Linked DNA regions of Arabidopsis thaliana. The protein of the gene in region 1 purifies or fractionates together with the protein of each later gene. This does not show direct contact. Each region holds a gene or a part of one and is shown in the gene's direction. Other genes may lie near its edges.

What was found.
Region 2: the proteins of AT1G16080 (region 1) and AT1G15140 fractionate together in Arabidopsis thaliana (co-fractionation; one large-scale study listed by BioGRID). This does not show direct contact.
Region 3: the proteins of AT1G16080 (region 1) and EMB2799 fractionate together in Arabidopsis thaliana (co-fractionation; one large-scale study listed by BioGRID). This does not show direct contact.

Annotation. Positions count from the first base shown.
Region 1 is NC_003070.9:5,512,489-5,516,953, forward strand, and holds AT1G16080 (nuclear protein), read left to right. Parts: upstream 1-1,773; 5' UTR 1,774-1,905; coding exon 1,906-2,254; intron 2,255-2,420; coding exon 2,421-2,638; intron 2,639-2,727; coding exon 2,728-2,856; intron 2,857-2,930; coding exon 2,931-3,062; intron 3,063-3,159; coding exon 3,160-3,273; 3' UTR 3,274-3,539; downstream 3,540-4,465. Other genes in the region: TLP8 (tubby like protein 8), read right to left, coding at 79-175, 268-323, 416-592, 673-787, 870-1,291; WAKL7 (wall associated kinase-like 7), read left to right, coding at 3,771-4,374, 4,420-4,465.
Region 2 is NC_003070.9:5,209,681-5,214,598, reverse strand, and holds AT1G15140 (FAD/NAD(P)-binding oxidoreductase), read left to right. Parts: upstream 1-2,249; 5' UTR 2,250-2,461; coding exon 2,462-3,009; intron 3,010-3,527; coding exon 3,528-3,627; intron 3,628-3,789; coding exon 3,790-3,885; coding exon of another isoform or gene 3,886-3,957; exon of another isoform or gene 3,958-3,969; coding exon 3,970-4,050; exon of another isoform or gene 4,051-4,133; coding exon 4,134-4,196; 3' UTR 4,197-4,418; downstream 4,419-4,918. Other genes in the region: AT1G15150 (MATE efflux family protein), read right to left, coding at 37-242, 372-610, 702-758, 838-924, 1,008-1,552, 1,668-1,925; AT1G15130 (Endosomal targeting BRO1-like domain-containing protein), read left to right, coding at 4,751-4,918.
Region 3 is NC_003071.7:16,309,139-16,314,794, reverse strand, and holds EMB2799 (NAD(P)-binding Rossmann-fold superfamily protein), read left to right. Parts: upstream 1-2,172; 5' UTR 2,173-2,319; coding exon 2,320-2,533; intron 2,534-2,761; coding exon 2,762-2,874; intron 2,875-3,156; coding exon 3,157-3,329; intron 3,330-3,569; coding exon 3,570-3,663; intron 3,664-3,956; coding exon 3,957-4,067; intron 4,068-4,174; coding exon 4,175-4,264; intron 4,265-4,389; coding exon 4,390-4,475; intron 4,476-4,558; coding exon 4,559-4,623; intron 4,624-4,704; coding exon 4,705-4,814; 3' UTR 4,815-4,997; downstream 4,998-5,656. Other genes in the region: APC7 (tetratricopeptide repeat (TPR)-containing protein), read left to right, coding at 91-164, 262-312, 390-590, 667-711, 794-887, 1,016-1,161, 1,463-1,692, 1,787-1,847 and 1 more.

The DNA of each region.
Region 1 (4,465 bases):
ACATACATACGTGTATTAACAGTTTTATGTTTTCGGAATGCAAGATTGATGGAGAGAAGTTTAAGATTAGGCATTTACCTGCTTATTGTTGTTTTTCTGCATTGGCTGCTGCTTTGGTAGCAAAGTTCTCATTCTTCTGTAGCTCCCTGTCCAAGTTGTTATGGTGGGTGTGAATCTGCAGAAGCCAACAGATGCATAAGCAAACCCAAAACTAAGGCAGAGGCAAATTCATCAAAAAACACGGCATTCAAAATCCTCAACGCTTACATTACAACCGAAAGAAGCGGCTTCACCATTTTACCTACAGAACCAACTCGAACTCCCTGCAATGGAATCAAAAGACCAGAAACATTCATACTCGATTTCCAACCTATAAGCAGAACCAACACCGTTACATTGAGCTTGAATTTCTGACCTTGTCCCATATGTAGTACTTGGAACCCAAGAGATTAGCCGTCATGGAACCGACATAACTTTCATCCGAACTGCACAGCAATCCCTTAACATTCTGTGCCACCCTAAATATAGATTTCCCATTACGTCGGCTATGGTAAGCAACTGCTAACTTCCGGTCTTTACGCCCCCGACCTTCCTGAGATATCAGAAACATTGATATCACTACATCTCAATTCTCACTCAGCATCATGGTAAATCGAATATCTATATACTTACATGTGTATAAAGTGAATATACAGATCCGTGGCTCAAGCCTTCAGGTGATTGTTCTTTCACAATCAGACAAGTGCATCTTCCCACATCCAAAGGTAGTGTCTTGCACAACAAAGCCCTGTTTAACAAGTATATACATAGTTTCAGACATGTTTAGAACAATGAAAGCACAAGAATCTTGGTAATAGCCGTGTTTTTACCTGTTGGGCAAAGTAGACCAAGAGGAAGCAGGGGCAGCTTCAGAATCCGAAAACTCCCACACTTTCAACGAACTTGAATGCTCTGAATCAACACTAGTCCAAGTTTTCATTCCGAAACTACTCTTATCAACCTCACTGTTCTTCTGCATACACGCTTGCAGTGATGACTGCTTCAGAGCTGTTCGACCACCAGTTGAGAAAGATTTGAAATTTGTAACTTCCGTTGGAAACCCAGAGTTACCCTTCATCGATTGAGACTTCAAAGCTCGATCTAGTTTCCGAGTTTCCACAGAGGTAGAGACTTTCTCCGGCGACACATTCTCCTTATCCTCTCCCTTTTGAGTGGATAAAGACCCTGTAATTGTGTCCACATTTCCCTTATTTTCCTCCAACAAATCATTCACTTTTCTCGAACCAGCCATGTTTTTTTTCCCTTTCTGGATGGATTGCTTTCAAGTATCAAGTTTAGAACTTTCTGGGAGCTAAGTTTATATCTTTATAGATTTTGAAGACATGAATCTAGAAACAGGTGTTTGACAATGGTACTGAGTTGAAAGTAACGTTTTTATAAAGTCCCACAGTGTTTCCATTTGAATTTGAATAGCCATTGGGGATTGTGCGAGCACAGAACCAAAGACACAGATGGACTTTTCTTTTCTTGTCTTAAACACAAAGGTTTTTTAGATGTCTGCGTTTGGTTTTTGCCCTTTTTCTACTTTCTACGGACCCAACGGTCAATACACGATAGTGGGATTTTGATTAATATTTTGTCGTTTTCCTTTGTCGGGAAACTGAAAGGTTGATGATTGGATTGAGGTTTAGCGGGAACTGTGTTTCAAACACTCAAACACTTAAAGTATCAACAACCTGCCGTTTTTTATATTTATCAACGTCATGCCGTTTTATCTTCGTGAGTCATCCAAAACCGATAAGCCAGAGCCTCAAACCATCGAGTGGCTGTTAAACCATACTGTTCAAATTAGTCCAACCAAAACCATGAGAGGCCACAACATCGTCGAAGCCCATTATTATCACCATGGCTAAAGCCAGTAGTACTCTGTTTGCTGTTTCCTGCTCCGCTTCAGCTCGTTTCTCTTTCCTCCGACGCTCTGAATCTCTTAAACCCTCAGTTTCAAGAGCGAGATTCGCCGTTCCAATGGCTATGGCCGCCGCGTCAGCTGCCACCGCTAAAAAACTAGCGCCTGCTGTGATTGTGGGTGGCGGAAGAGTCGGAAGGGCGTTACAGGAAATGGGTAATGGCGAGGATTTGTTGGTGAAGAGAGGAGAAGCAGTTCCGGTTGATTTTGAAGGACCCATTTTGGTTTGTACAAGAAATGATGATCTCGATGCTGTTCTTGAAGCTACTCCTCAGTCTAGATGGAAAGGTAGAAACTTTCATAGGCCCTAAGAATCATTAGTGAGCCAAATTGTTAGATGTTTTAGGGCGTTTGATCATCGCAGAGCACAATTCAAATGATCAGATTATCAAATTTTGATTGTTTCTTCAGTTTATGACTTGGTATAGTAAAAACGTTGTGTGTAATTAATCAGATTTGGTCTTCTTCCAAAATGGAATGATGGAGCCGTGGTTTGAGAGCAAAGGTTTGGGTGATACAGACCAAGTGTTGGCCTATTTTGCTGTGTCAAAGCTCGGCGAGCCTCCCGTGGATGGAAAGACTGACACTAACCCAGAAGGTCTTACTGCTGCTTATGGAAAATGGGCTTCAGAGATAGCTGCAAGATTGCAATCTGGTGGCCTCTCTTGCAAGGTTACAAGAAGCAAATCTTTGTTTTATGATAACGCAGAAGCTGCATGGATATACTAAATGTGTTCTTTTGTCGGTGTTTCTGTGGTTAGGTACTTGACAAAGAAGCTTTTCAGAAGCAAATGTTGGAGAAACTCATTTGGATTTGTGCATTTATGCTTGTTGGAGCTCGTCATCCAGGTGCAAGTGTTGGCACGGTGGAGAAAGAATACAGAGATGAAGTACCGAAATTCCATTCCTCGTTTCGTTTTAGCATTCAAAATCGTTGTTTAGTGCTAATTACTTATACATTCAGGTGTCGAGACTCATCCAAGAACTTGCAGCAGCTGCTGCCGCGGAAAAAGGACTAACCTTTGAAGAGAACATGGTGGAAAGACTATGTGCTTATTCACGAGCTGTTTCTCATTTCCCAACTGCTGTTAAAGAAGTACATATATCACTTTTATCATCCTTGATCTCTCTCTTTCAATGCATGTGCATGTGCATCAGTATCTGTTTCACAACTAGTTTTCTGATTATTGCAGTTTAAATGGAGGAATGGTTGGTTTTATTCACTCTCAGAGAAGGCGATTGCGGAAGGGCAACCGGATCCGTGTCCCCTCCATACCGAATGGCTGAAAGAGCTTAAAGTGATATAGAGCCAGTCTTTCTAAATTGTGAGTATCTGGATTAAGTATCATTCTTACATATTTTAAGTAGATGATCTGAAACTAGTGTCAACTGTGTACACGCCTGAGAAGTGAAAAAAAGATGTAATTTTTTAATAAAGAAAGAGAATCAGTTCACGCTTTGTAAAATGTCCAGACTTTTATATGTGTAAACTTGTGCATTTTCAAGAATCAAAACTTTTCTGCTTCTAGACTCCCATCAATTAGGGAAGACTAGAATCTTCAATAATAAACAAATTATGACAGATACCTATGTAGACTCTTTGGAATCATCAATAGTTGACAAAGTAAGAGGCAGGATCGTCCACGCTTGTTTGAATTTTCAGCCTTTGCAGGCAAGGTGGTCCAAGTAGGCAACTGTGGTTTCTTCGGTTAGTTACTATATAACACATAATTCTATATTAGCTTTAGCTTTAGCTTCACATAACATAACTCAGTTTTCTACAAAGAAAAAAAAACAGAGCATAATGAGCAGAGAGAAGTTTTCCATATATAACTTGCTCTCTCTTCTGGTTCTGCTGATCCATGGTTTGATTGCAGCATCTGCTCAAGATCTCACTGTCTTCAGTTCTTGTCAAAGCCATTGCGGGGGAATAGCGATTCCTTATCCCTTTGGAATTGGTAAAGATTGCTATCTCAACAACAATGAGTGGTATGAAGTTATCTGTAACCGAACCTCAGGAAACCCTCTGCCAGTTCTTAAGAGTATCAACAGAGAACTGGTGAATATCTCTCTCCCGGACGACTCAAGCGATGTCTTTGGGCTAACCCGAATCAAGAATCCGGTAACTTCTTTAGGCTGTTCCAATATGGAAGAAATCAGCTTGGCTTTGAATGTGACCGGGAGCCCATTCTTCCTCACCGGCCGTAATACTTTAGTAGCAGTTGGCTGTAACAACAATGCCTCGATGACTGATGATAAGCTGCAGATTGGAGGATGCGAGTCTACCTGCGACGTGGGGTTTGGTCAGAGAGGACGGAACAGAAGCTGCAACGGCTATAGATGTTGCCAAGCGAAGATACTCTCTGACCGTCTGCAACAGATTGGCATCAAGATAGAGAGTCTTGATGGTAACACAACGAAATAAGCTGGGTGCAGAGTTGCTTTCTTGACAGACGAGGCATATTCTCCTTTAAATATAACCGAACCAGCTTTGTTTTA
Region 2 (4,918 bases), 300 kb from region 1:
AACATGTCATGAAAGACAAAAAGCAAAGGAAAGGACCTGGGTTTTCCAGTTTGTGCAGCCTGTGACAAGAGCCAGCAGAAGAGTCTGCAGAACTGCACCGGCTAGTATTCCAATCCAAAGGCCAACACCTTTCAGATGAACCCAGAAGGCTAAAGATGCTGCAATGGGTATCCCCCAGAGATAGAAAGCTCCGAAGTTTATGTAAGCCCCTATATGCTGCCACCCGCATCCGCTTGCAACACCTTCCAACCATCAAACGAGGGTTAGAAGAATGGCAGAAAAGAGTACAACATGAACAGGCATGACAACTTGGAGCTGTATATTCGACACTAGCTTATGTTTGAGAAACGAAATGGGAAAAAATCTCGAACCTGAGAGAACCCCTTGTAAACTGTCCAGTATGATAGAAATAGAGACCAACGGAGCCATCTTTGCAACATATTCGATGGTTTTCTTGTCACTGCTGAAAACATGGCCGAAAACATGCCTGCCGGCTAATAGAGACATACTCACCATCAATGCATCCATTACTGCAAGAGACATTGCCGCATAGACCACAATATGTGCTGCTCGAGAGTTTCCAGCTCCTAACTCATTTGAGATTCTTGTGCTGCACAATGTACTTGCTTATGAACATGAAACCATAACAGAAAGTATACTTCAGCATTTATGTACTGGATAGTGGTGACAAAAGCTCTAACCTTGCTGCAGCCGCGATCGCTAGTGGTATTGAATAAGTTATTGAAAGTGTTTCGAAACTGTCCGTAGTATGAATAACATTATGATTTTGCAAATTCAAGATTGTGACAGGAAATGGAAAGATGCAAGGATGAGTACCAGATAGAGAGCACAGAAGTCTCCAGCTGTGGGTTGGGTAACAGACCAGAAAGTAATATTATGAGTTCATATGACCACCACTCCAGGCTGCAACCCATATATAAAAGAGTTTCTAACAAAAAATGTGGAGGCAATGAGAAGTGAAAAAGGAACAGAGAAAAGTGATGTACCAAAGCATAGCCGCAGAAGGAAGAGCATATTTGATAAACTCTCTAACGCCCTCGAATATCTCCATGGTAAGCGGCGCGCGTGTCTCAGAACAGGCAGAGGAGTAGTACATGAAAGATCCAAGGAAAATGGCATAGAGCCAGTATGACAAGCTGAGAGCCAAGGCTCCTCCAATATGACCAAGCCCTGACTTATAAACCAAAAGCCAGCAGAGAGGAACGTGGATACAAAACACAACAGAAGAGGTGACGAGGAGAGGTGTGATCAAGCTCTGGTTTTTGAAGTAGCGAATGAGCGGCTGAAGAACGGCGTAAGCGAACAGTCCTGGGATGAGCCAAGCGGCATATCTACCAGCTTCGTGAGCAATAGCAGGGTCTTGGCCAAGGATCACAATAAGCTTTCCCATGTTGAACCATAGGAGAGAGAGAGGGAGACACACTAAAGTAAGACAGAACATAGCTGTGTAAGCCTGAACACCTAGTTTCCGATATAGCTTAGCTCCATAAGCTTGACCACTCAAAGTATCTAAGGCACATGACAATCCTATCTATCATCAAAAAGTAACAAGAAAGTGAGGAGAGGATGCAATTTCCATGGTTCTGGTAGCTAGTAACAGAGATAAGTGCGTCAATTTAGAGGAAAGAAGGAAAAGGAAAACAAACAATGAAGCTGAAGCCAGTGACGTTACAGAAGGAGACTGCGAAGGAAGCGCTAGCGAGGGAGAGTCTACCGAGGTGACCCACCATCACCATTGAGATTATCTGTATCATGAACTGAATGATAACCACGGCAGCCATAGGAGCCGCAAAGCAGATAAGCCTCTTGAGTTCTGCGGTGAAAGATCCGTCTTGCAGATCTCTCCATGTCACTTTCTCAATTCTGTCTACCGGATCATTGGTGGTTCTCTCCGCGTCTTGCATGGCTTGTGAGAGAGAGTTTGAAAGTTGAAACGGAAAGTGGTGAGTGATAATCGTGAAGTACTACTGTCTGCTTTTTGGTGCTTGGTTATGTGTAATTCCTTACCAAGGGAATCTATAGTGTAGTGCCACTTGGCAAAATTCCAAAACCATGAATGAAATATATACGTTAAATTTGGCTCAACGGTAGGGAGTGTTCATTGATAATGTACTCTTACGTTTTTTAATATGCATATTGCTTGTCACTTTTCTTCCACAATTCTGTCTTTTAATTACATGATTTGGTGTTTTTTCTTTGAAAGACGAGCTAGCAAAATTAAATGAAGAGGGAATGCAATTTTCGAAGTATCACAACAAGTGGTCGGAAAGTAGATAGAATGATATTTTGATCATCCACGTGGCAAAACATTGTAACGGAAGGAAATTAGGTGCATAGCAAAAAAAAATAACACAATCGTGCCACCGAACCAATCGGGCCGCCCTTTTCTACCGCCGGCTAAATTTGACGGTCACATATAGAGCCCCAAAAACTCTCCACCATGTCCACTCTTCCTTTCGCGCCTTCTGTCACCCATGCGCACTTTAGCCACTCCCTCTCCCCCATGTTTATCCTGCGCCATCTCCCTCTTACACGCCATCTCCGTTTATCCCGAAATAACCGCGTCGCTTCCGTTGTATCCGCCGCCGCCGTTCGCCAGGACGCTTCCCTCTGGACTCCAGCTCCTCTCTCTCTAATCGAATCAGCTGCAGAATCGCTTTTCCACATCTCAATCGACATTTCAAACGCTCCGGATCTCGTAGCTTCGTACACGAGACCCGGTCAGTATCTCCAGATCCGTGTTCCTGATGTTGAGAAGCCTTCTTTTATGGCAATCGCTTCTCCTCCTTCCTTGGCGTCTTCTCGTGGTGCTTTCGAATTCTTGGTCAAGAGCATCGCTGGTTCTACCGCGGAGATTCTCTGCGGGTTGAAGAAAGGAGAGACCGTTGAGCTTAGCTCTGTGATGGGTAATGGTTTCAATATCGATCTGATTGATCCTCCTGAGGAATATCCCACCGTTTTGATTTTCGCCACTGGATCTGGAATTAGGTGAGAGCTTTTTCCATTTTCTCTCCTACCTTGTTGGATTGCTGAAGTTGTCTTTTTTACTTCATGTATTCAATGATCCAAGTGTGGTCTAGTTTAAAGGTTTCAGTGCAGAGCATTAGCTAGATACAAAGCTTTCAAACTCAAGTATCTTGAATCTAGTTTAGTTACTCATTTTGCGGTGAATCCTCTGTGATGCCGGGTTCAATTGCTTTTTTGTGGACCTTTTTTGTGAACTCCAGTATGATTTCAATCTATCCAAAGGTGCCATGGACCAATTTTGTGGCTATTTTTTTACTGTGATGATGTTGTAATACTGAAATAGAGTTTCATGTATGAAAGGTCAATGTTTTTATGACTTTGGTGATCGATCAGATCTGTTGTTTATGCCAAGTAAAGGTGTTTCTTTCAATCATCTATTGTTCTAGGCCTGGTCAATCAAAAATGTTTAGTGATGGTGATGTGAATTAAGTAACTGTCTTCAATTTGGAATGTAATCTCACATGTTCTTATCTCTGCAGCCCCATCCGCTCACTAATCGAATCAGGATTTGGCGCTGATAGAAGATCTGACGTAAGACTCTATTACGGGGCTAGGAACCTGAATAGGATGGCTTACCAGGTTTGGTTCTTTCTCTCAGTTGTTTTGCAATTCATGATGTCAGTAGATATAAATGTGTGTGCTTGAATTATAAAAATCTTTTGATGATAAGCGTAAAGCCTATCTCTCGCTCTCATTTTGATCTACAGAAGAATCATCTTGGAAACGCTCTTGATTTTGTAGGAAAAGTTTAAAGAGTGGGAATCAGCGGGTGTCAAAGTTGTGCCGGTATTATCACAGCCAGATGATGGGTGGAAAGGGGAAACTGGATATGTGCAGGTGAGATTGAGAAACGTGCTCCTTAGTCAAGTCTGCTGTAACTCAATGTGGATCAAACTAATATATACATAATGTGTTGTATAGGCTGCTTTTGCAAGGGCTAAACAGCTATCAGCTCCCAAGGCCACGGGAGCGGTGCTGTGCGGACAGAAACAAATGGCTGAGGTATGCACTGTTTTTGTTTATGAGAACCTAAATGCTTTAGAAGATGTGTATCTTTATCATTGTTTCGATTTGTATTGTTGCAGGAGATAACTTCAATGCTTGTAGCTGATGGAGTCTCAAATGACAAGCTGCTCAAAAACTTTTGACAGATATAGTTCTTGTATTATCGTATAATTTTACTGTTTCTTCACATCATTATTCTTTTGATACGAAAGTCCTCTTCAAGGCCTCTCTAATTCATAAACACACAGAATTTTGTAGTCCCTTAAAAATTAATACTACTGTGTTGATTGTCACCACAACATTCTTTTTTGATTAGTGATCATGTTAATGTCCATGCTCTATATACTTTGCATATTTCTTCTACTTTCAATAGAAAATTTCTACATATACCAAGAAGATTTATACCAAAAAATATTGTGAATTAGACATGTTTCTAATTAGGAAAAGTTCCACAAAATAAATCACCATCGTTGCCACATTTAATTAACGCGGAAAAAAGCTTAAAAGCCATTGATCGACTGTATTAACCACTAAATTAGACTGCACGCCGTTTTCATAGAAGATCACAGGACTTGGTGTCGTTCTCACGATCCTTCACGATCATCTTCTCTTAGTCAATAAGGATCCATCAAGGAAACCAAAAATCGAAGAAAATTAGAAAAATCGGAAGAGCGATCGAAGAGGATTTTGAACCGCCATGGCTTCTTCTTCGCTCTCTAATCTGATGCTCGCCATTCATGAGAAGAAGACGAGCTCCGTTGATCTCTACCGTCCTCTCCGCAACTACGTTACTTTCACCTACTCTGAGCGCGAGGCTCAGCTTATAGACGACGATCTCGAGACCTTGAAGCAGCTCCGATCCGAT
Region 3 (5,656 bases), on another chromosome or scaffold:
AGATTTCATTTCTTGCATTTTATTTGTGGGAAATTCTGCAATCTGATGCTTGCTTTACTGGATATGGTGTAATATTTTTTTGTTACTCAGGGGCGCTGGAACTCTTTGCTGAACTCTTACAACGATTTCCAAATAATGTACACTTGTTGACTGAGACAGCAAAGGTTAGGGATGACATCGACTACGATGCAAACAGAATTTCACCTGAATTTTTCATTTTATCATGACTGACGCTGATTGACATTTATTTCATTTGTATAGGTTGAAGCCATTATTGGGAAAAATGATGAGGCCATAATGAGATTTGAGAAGGTAGTCACCACATGGATATTTTTTTCTCAATTCTCAACTTCTTTAATTCATGCATAATCATCTAAAAGCTTTTATAGGTTCGGTCAATTGATCCTTACACACTAACCAGTATGGATGAGTATGCGATGCTGCTTCAGATTAAGTGTGATTATTCCAGGCTAAACAAGCTCGTCCACGATTTATTAAGCGTTGATCATACCAGAGCAGAAGTATTTGTTGCTTTGTCTGTACTATGGGAAAGGAAAGATGCAAGGACGGCATTATCTTATGCTGAGAAGGTTAGCTTTTTTCTGACACTGAATTTTTGTGCCAAAATCTTTGTGTGATAGCTCATGACATACACTATGCAATCAGAGTATCAGGGTAGACGAGAGGCACATACCCGGCTACATAATGAAGGTAAGCTAGTTCAACGAGGAGTTTATTTATTTTTAGTAAGTTTGCATATATATATATATCCACTAATTTGTTAAGACGTCAGGGAAATCTACTTTTACAAGCAAAACGACCAGAAGCTGCAGCGATCGCCTTCAGGGCTGCCCAGAATTTGAGGTCCGATCTTCGTTCATATCAAGGTCTGGTTCACGAGGGAAAAAGATCTGATATACACTTCCACTGTTGTACTGTTTTGGTGGTATAAACCTTTAACAATCATGAAAAGGTTGGAGTGTGTAATTAACTTGCGCTATTGAGGTCATTTCAGGCTTAGTCCATTCTTATCTTGCATTTGGTAAAACCAAAGAAGCATTGTATACCGCCAGGGAAGCAATGAATGCAATGCCTCAATCCGCGAAGGCTCTGAAATTAGTTGGTGATGTTCATGCGTTTACATCAAGTGGCAGGGAAAAGGTACAAACATTCAGCTTTGTTATGCTTCTATGGTGTCAATTTTCATCATATCAATATTCTATCCAGATTTTTTACATCTTAATCAGAAGCGGTGAAAGCTTTAGGGAGTTAGTTGCATATAATACTAAATATTGAAACTGGGAAAGTTCCTTAAACTTAACTGTTCAAATCTCAATTTTGATAAGCATAGTGTATACCAAATCTGAGAAACTATTCAGAGCTTGTGAGTATCTTCTTGTGATCTTTACATTATGTATAAAAATTTATGGTGTAACAGTAGAATGATATGGTTTTATAACAGGCAAAAAAGTTTTACGAGTCAGGTCTGAGGCTGGAACCTGGGTACCTTGGAGCTGTGTTAGCCCTAGCTGAGCTTCATCTAATGGAAGGGAGGAATGGAGATGCTGTATCACTACTTGAACGATATCTCAAAGATTATGCAGATGATTCTCTCCACGTCAAGCTAGCTCAAGTGTTTGCTGCAACGAATATGCTACAAGATTCTTTATCACACTTTCAAGCTGCATTAAGGTTTATGAAATTCTAAGCCAGTAGTGCTTATAGTTCTTGTTGCTCCTATGCGAAACAATAACGATATAACAGAGTGTAAATAATGTAAACGCAGAATAAATCCACAGAATGAGGCAGCCAAAAAGGGACTAGATCGCTTGGAGAAACAAATGAAGGTTGGGAAGAATCAAATCGAACCATTTTATTATGAAGCTCGAACAAGGATGATGTTTAGTGTATTCACAAAATTGGGGTGTTTGTTGCAGGGAATAGACCCAGATGCAACAGATGAGAATGACGAGAACGATGTTGAAGATGTTGATGGAGACACCGAAGAAGCTGAGCTCATGTGAAGAGTAGAGAGACAGAAGAGTGTGTAAACTGTAAAACTATCGAATCCTTAACATTAATATTAATAGCAAATGTCATTCCTTTTGTTTCCTATAAACAAACTTAGAATATGAAAAGAAACGAAAAAAAAGACCAATATTCTACAACATTGGACGTCGTGACGTGTAAATACGCCATTGGTTAAAACACACCAAGAGAACCCATTACCAAAGTCTCACGGAGAATCCCATCTCTTTCCCCACGCCAACTCAATCTTTTTCGTCGTCAAAAGCCAAAGCTTTTTGCTTTTTTGTCTTAATGGGTTTCATCTCTTGCATCTCATTTCCGACGATCAATTCAAGAATTCTATCGACTCACCACTTTTCCAAGCACTCGACTTCAGCGTCTTCTTCATATTCACTTAAGTTTGCTTTGAGACGTCAGGAGGATAAACCCAAAGTCTCGTTTTTTCTTCCATTAACGTCTTCGTTAATGGCGACCCCTATTCAAGCCTCTTCTTCCTCCACCATTGGTATCTTCACTCTCTACTTCTTCAATTCGACTGCTTTAAGGATTAGTGAACTTTGACTTTTAAGATAATCCTATGTTAATCTTTTATGCTTAGTGAGGTAATTAGAGCTTTCGAATGATTTACAATTTCTGATTACATTGATGAGGAAGCTAAGAATATGGTAAATGAAGGTTTAGTGATCTGCCTCTCCAAAGTAGTGACCTTTTTAATATGTTGTTTTGTATGAAGGTGAGACCAGTGATGGCTTGAAGGTCCAGTCTCATGTTTCAATTGGAGCAAACGATCTGCTGATTGTTGGACCGGGTGTTCTTGGACGCTTAGTTGCAGAACAGTGGAGACAGGTATAATTTCTGTGTTGTATATCCCCTACAGGGGACTTAGCTCAATTTGATACTTACTCATATTCTTCTTATAGAACATCCGATAGATATGGTGTTTCTGTACTACGAAAACAAAAACGTTTATGATGTCCTGCAAATCCCTGTTTTAATGTGTCTTGAGTGTTTATCAATATGGTGTGTGTGTGGATAGTGACTAGTACTTTTTCTTCACAACGTATATATAGTAAGAGTCATGTTTTTCACAATATGGAAGTTAGAGTTAGAGCTTTATATGTGGAGCAGGAACATCCAGAGTCTCAAATCTTTGGGCAGACAGTAACAACAAATCATCATGGTGAGTTGGAGAATTTGGGTATCAAACCATCTCTTAAAGGAACCGAATATGGGGGAAAGTTCTCCTATGTGATCTTTTGTGCTCCACCATCACAAAGCGCTGATTATGCTGGTGAAGTCAGGTGATTAATTACAAAAAATCTTATGTTTTAATAACTAGAAAGTCAATTTATGCATTATGATCTGTTAGTGAATGCCAGAAATGTCGACTATTGTGCGCTTGACTTTATTAGCTGGAGAAGAAAAATGAAGCTAAACGTCAATTTGTGCTTTTTAGTTCATCCTATGTGACAACAGTAAAAACATTTGCCTTCATTCAACTGTCTAATATGTGTGTATGCTTGTGTTTACAATCGGATCAGGAATGCAGCATCAAACTGGAATGGCGAAGGATCATTCTTATTCACATCTAGTTCTGCACCTTATGATTGCTTTGATAACGGAGAATGCAACGAGGTTTGTCTCAGCACCTGAATACCTATTTTCTTTCAGTTTTCTCCATCCTAAAATTCCTAGTTTTAGACTTTAACACCACATTTAGTATTATTCTATATCAAAGTTGTTTAACACAATTACTTGTTGAGGTAATTTGGGGAAAAGAGTCTCTCACATTTAAAATCTATGAAAATCAAGTATACAATCAATAAAAAAATTTGATATTTGAGACCACAATGCAAATTCTTGTTCATTGTGAATATATATATGTGCTATTCAATAAGAATTTCTAAGTTCGTTACCCTTCACTGCAGGATTCTCCAGTAGTGCCACTGGGAAAGAGTCCAAGAACTGATGTGCTTTTGAAAGCTGAAAAAGTAGTGTTGGAATGTGGAGGGACTGTCCTTAGACTAGCAGGGCTTTACATATCCTTTTGGATTTCGATACTGAAACTGAATGAGCAAGTATTGAAAGACTTTTTTCTTGGTCTGTAGAAGATTTGAGCATTATGTTTCTCCTGAACTTTTTATACACAGAAACTAGAGGTGCACATACTTACTGGTTGAGTAAGGAGACAATTGATGCTCGTCCTGATCATATTCTAAATCTCATACACTATGAGGTATATTTGTGATTTTGTTCACTCTCATAACTAATTAGTTGATCTGCAGATTGAACTCATTTTCTAGAATGGCAGTGTACTATACATTAGTCTCTTATCAGGTTCTCTAATGTGTTTTTGAACAGGATGCAGCATCGCTGGCAGTTGCAATCATGAAGAAGAAAGCCGGTGCTCGGATTTTCTTGGGTTGTGACAACCATCCTTTGTCAAGGTAATGCTGCTTTCGTTCTAACTTTGAGATTACTTTCTAACTTTTGATGAGACATCAAATGTTTGACCCCTCACTCTTCTCAGGCAAGAGGTGATGGACCTGATGGCTCAAAGCGGAAAATTTGATAAGAAGTTCAAAGGTTTTACAAGTGAGTTTCTTCAGACATTGACATGTAGTTGTCTTGAAAAACCTTAAGCTTCATGGAGTCTGACAACTTTGGCTTTTGTAGGCACCAGTGGTCCTTTAGGGAAGAAGCTGAACAACTCTAAGACACGAGCGGAGATAGGATGGGAGCCGAAGTATCCAAGCTTTGCCCAATTTTTTGGAGTATCGACATAATATTTTTACTTGGATTGATTAAGAATGTCTCTAGCGCTGAAGAATCCAATAATGTGAAGCATTATTTATGTTTGGTACAAACAAACTCATGTATCCTCTTGAGTGATCAAACAGCTGAAATTTTCAGAATTCTTCATAAAGCTCCATGGTTCATATATATAAATCATATTTTGTTAATTTACTTAATACAGTTAGCAAATGGGTTGAGAAGTAAATAATCAACGCAAACTTAATCAGTTTGAATAAAATATATAAACGTGGTTAGATCATAATAATAAAGCATCTTATAAATCATCTAATTAGATGGATTTTAAAGGTTTCTGTCAAGATGTAAAAGCTTGTGTCTTGTTCATTACCAAATTAAGATTCTAACAAAGAAATAGGCCAAACATACGAGGCCTCAGGTATGAGCCTAACAAACACATCCATGCCTCCATCTCACCCACATAATTTGATATGAAGGTTTCATTATACCTTTATTAATAAAAATACTTAATTCATTAACATGTTCACAAATCATCTCATTGGTGATATGTGCAAGCAAATAATCTTATCAGTTATCACATTTGGTTTCTTAACACCAGTTATGGAAGGTTGTTATAAGTTACACAATGTCTTATAATTAGGGTGATGGCCCATCACTGATGGGTGATGTTTTATCTATATATAAAAAAATCTTATATTAATTTGGCTATATACAAACATTGAACCAGATTCAGAGGGTTGCTAGGCGTATGATATGTCTGAAGTGATTAATTCGACTTTAAGAAATTTGTAGCCTAATGCAAAAATACTTTGTCGGATTTAGAAGGCCTAACAATTAGGAACAACACCTAATGCAA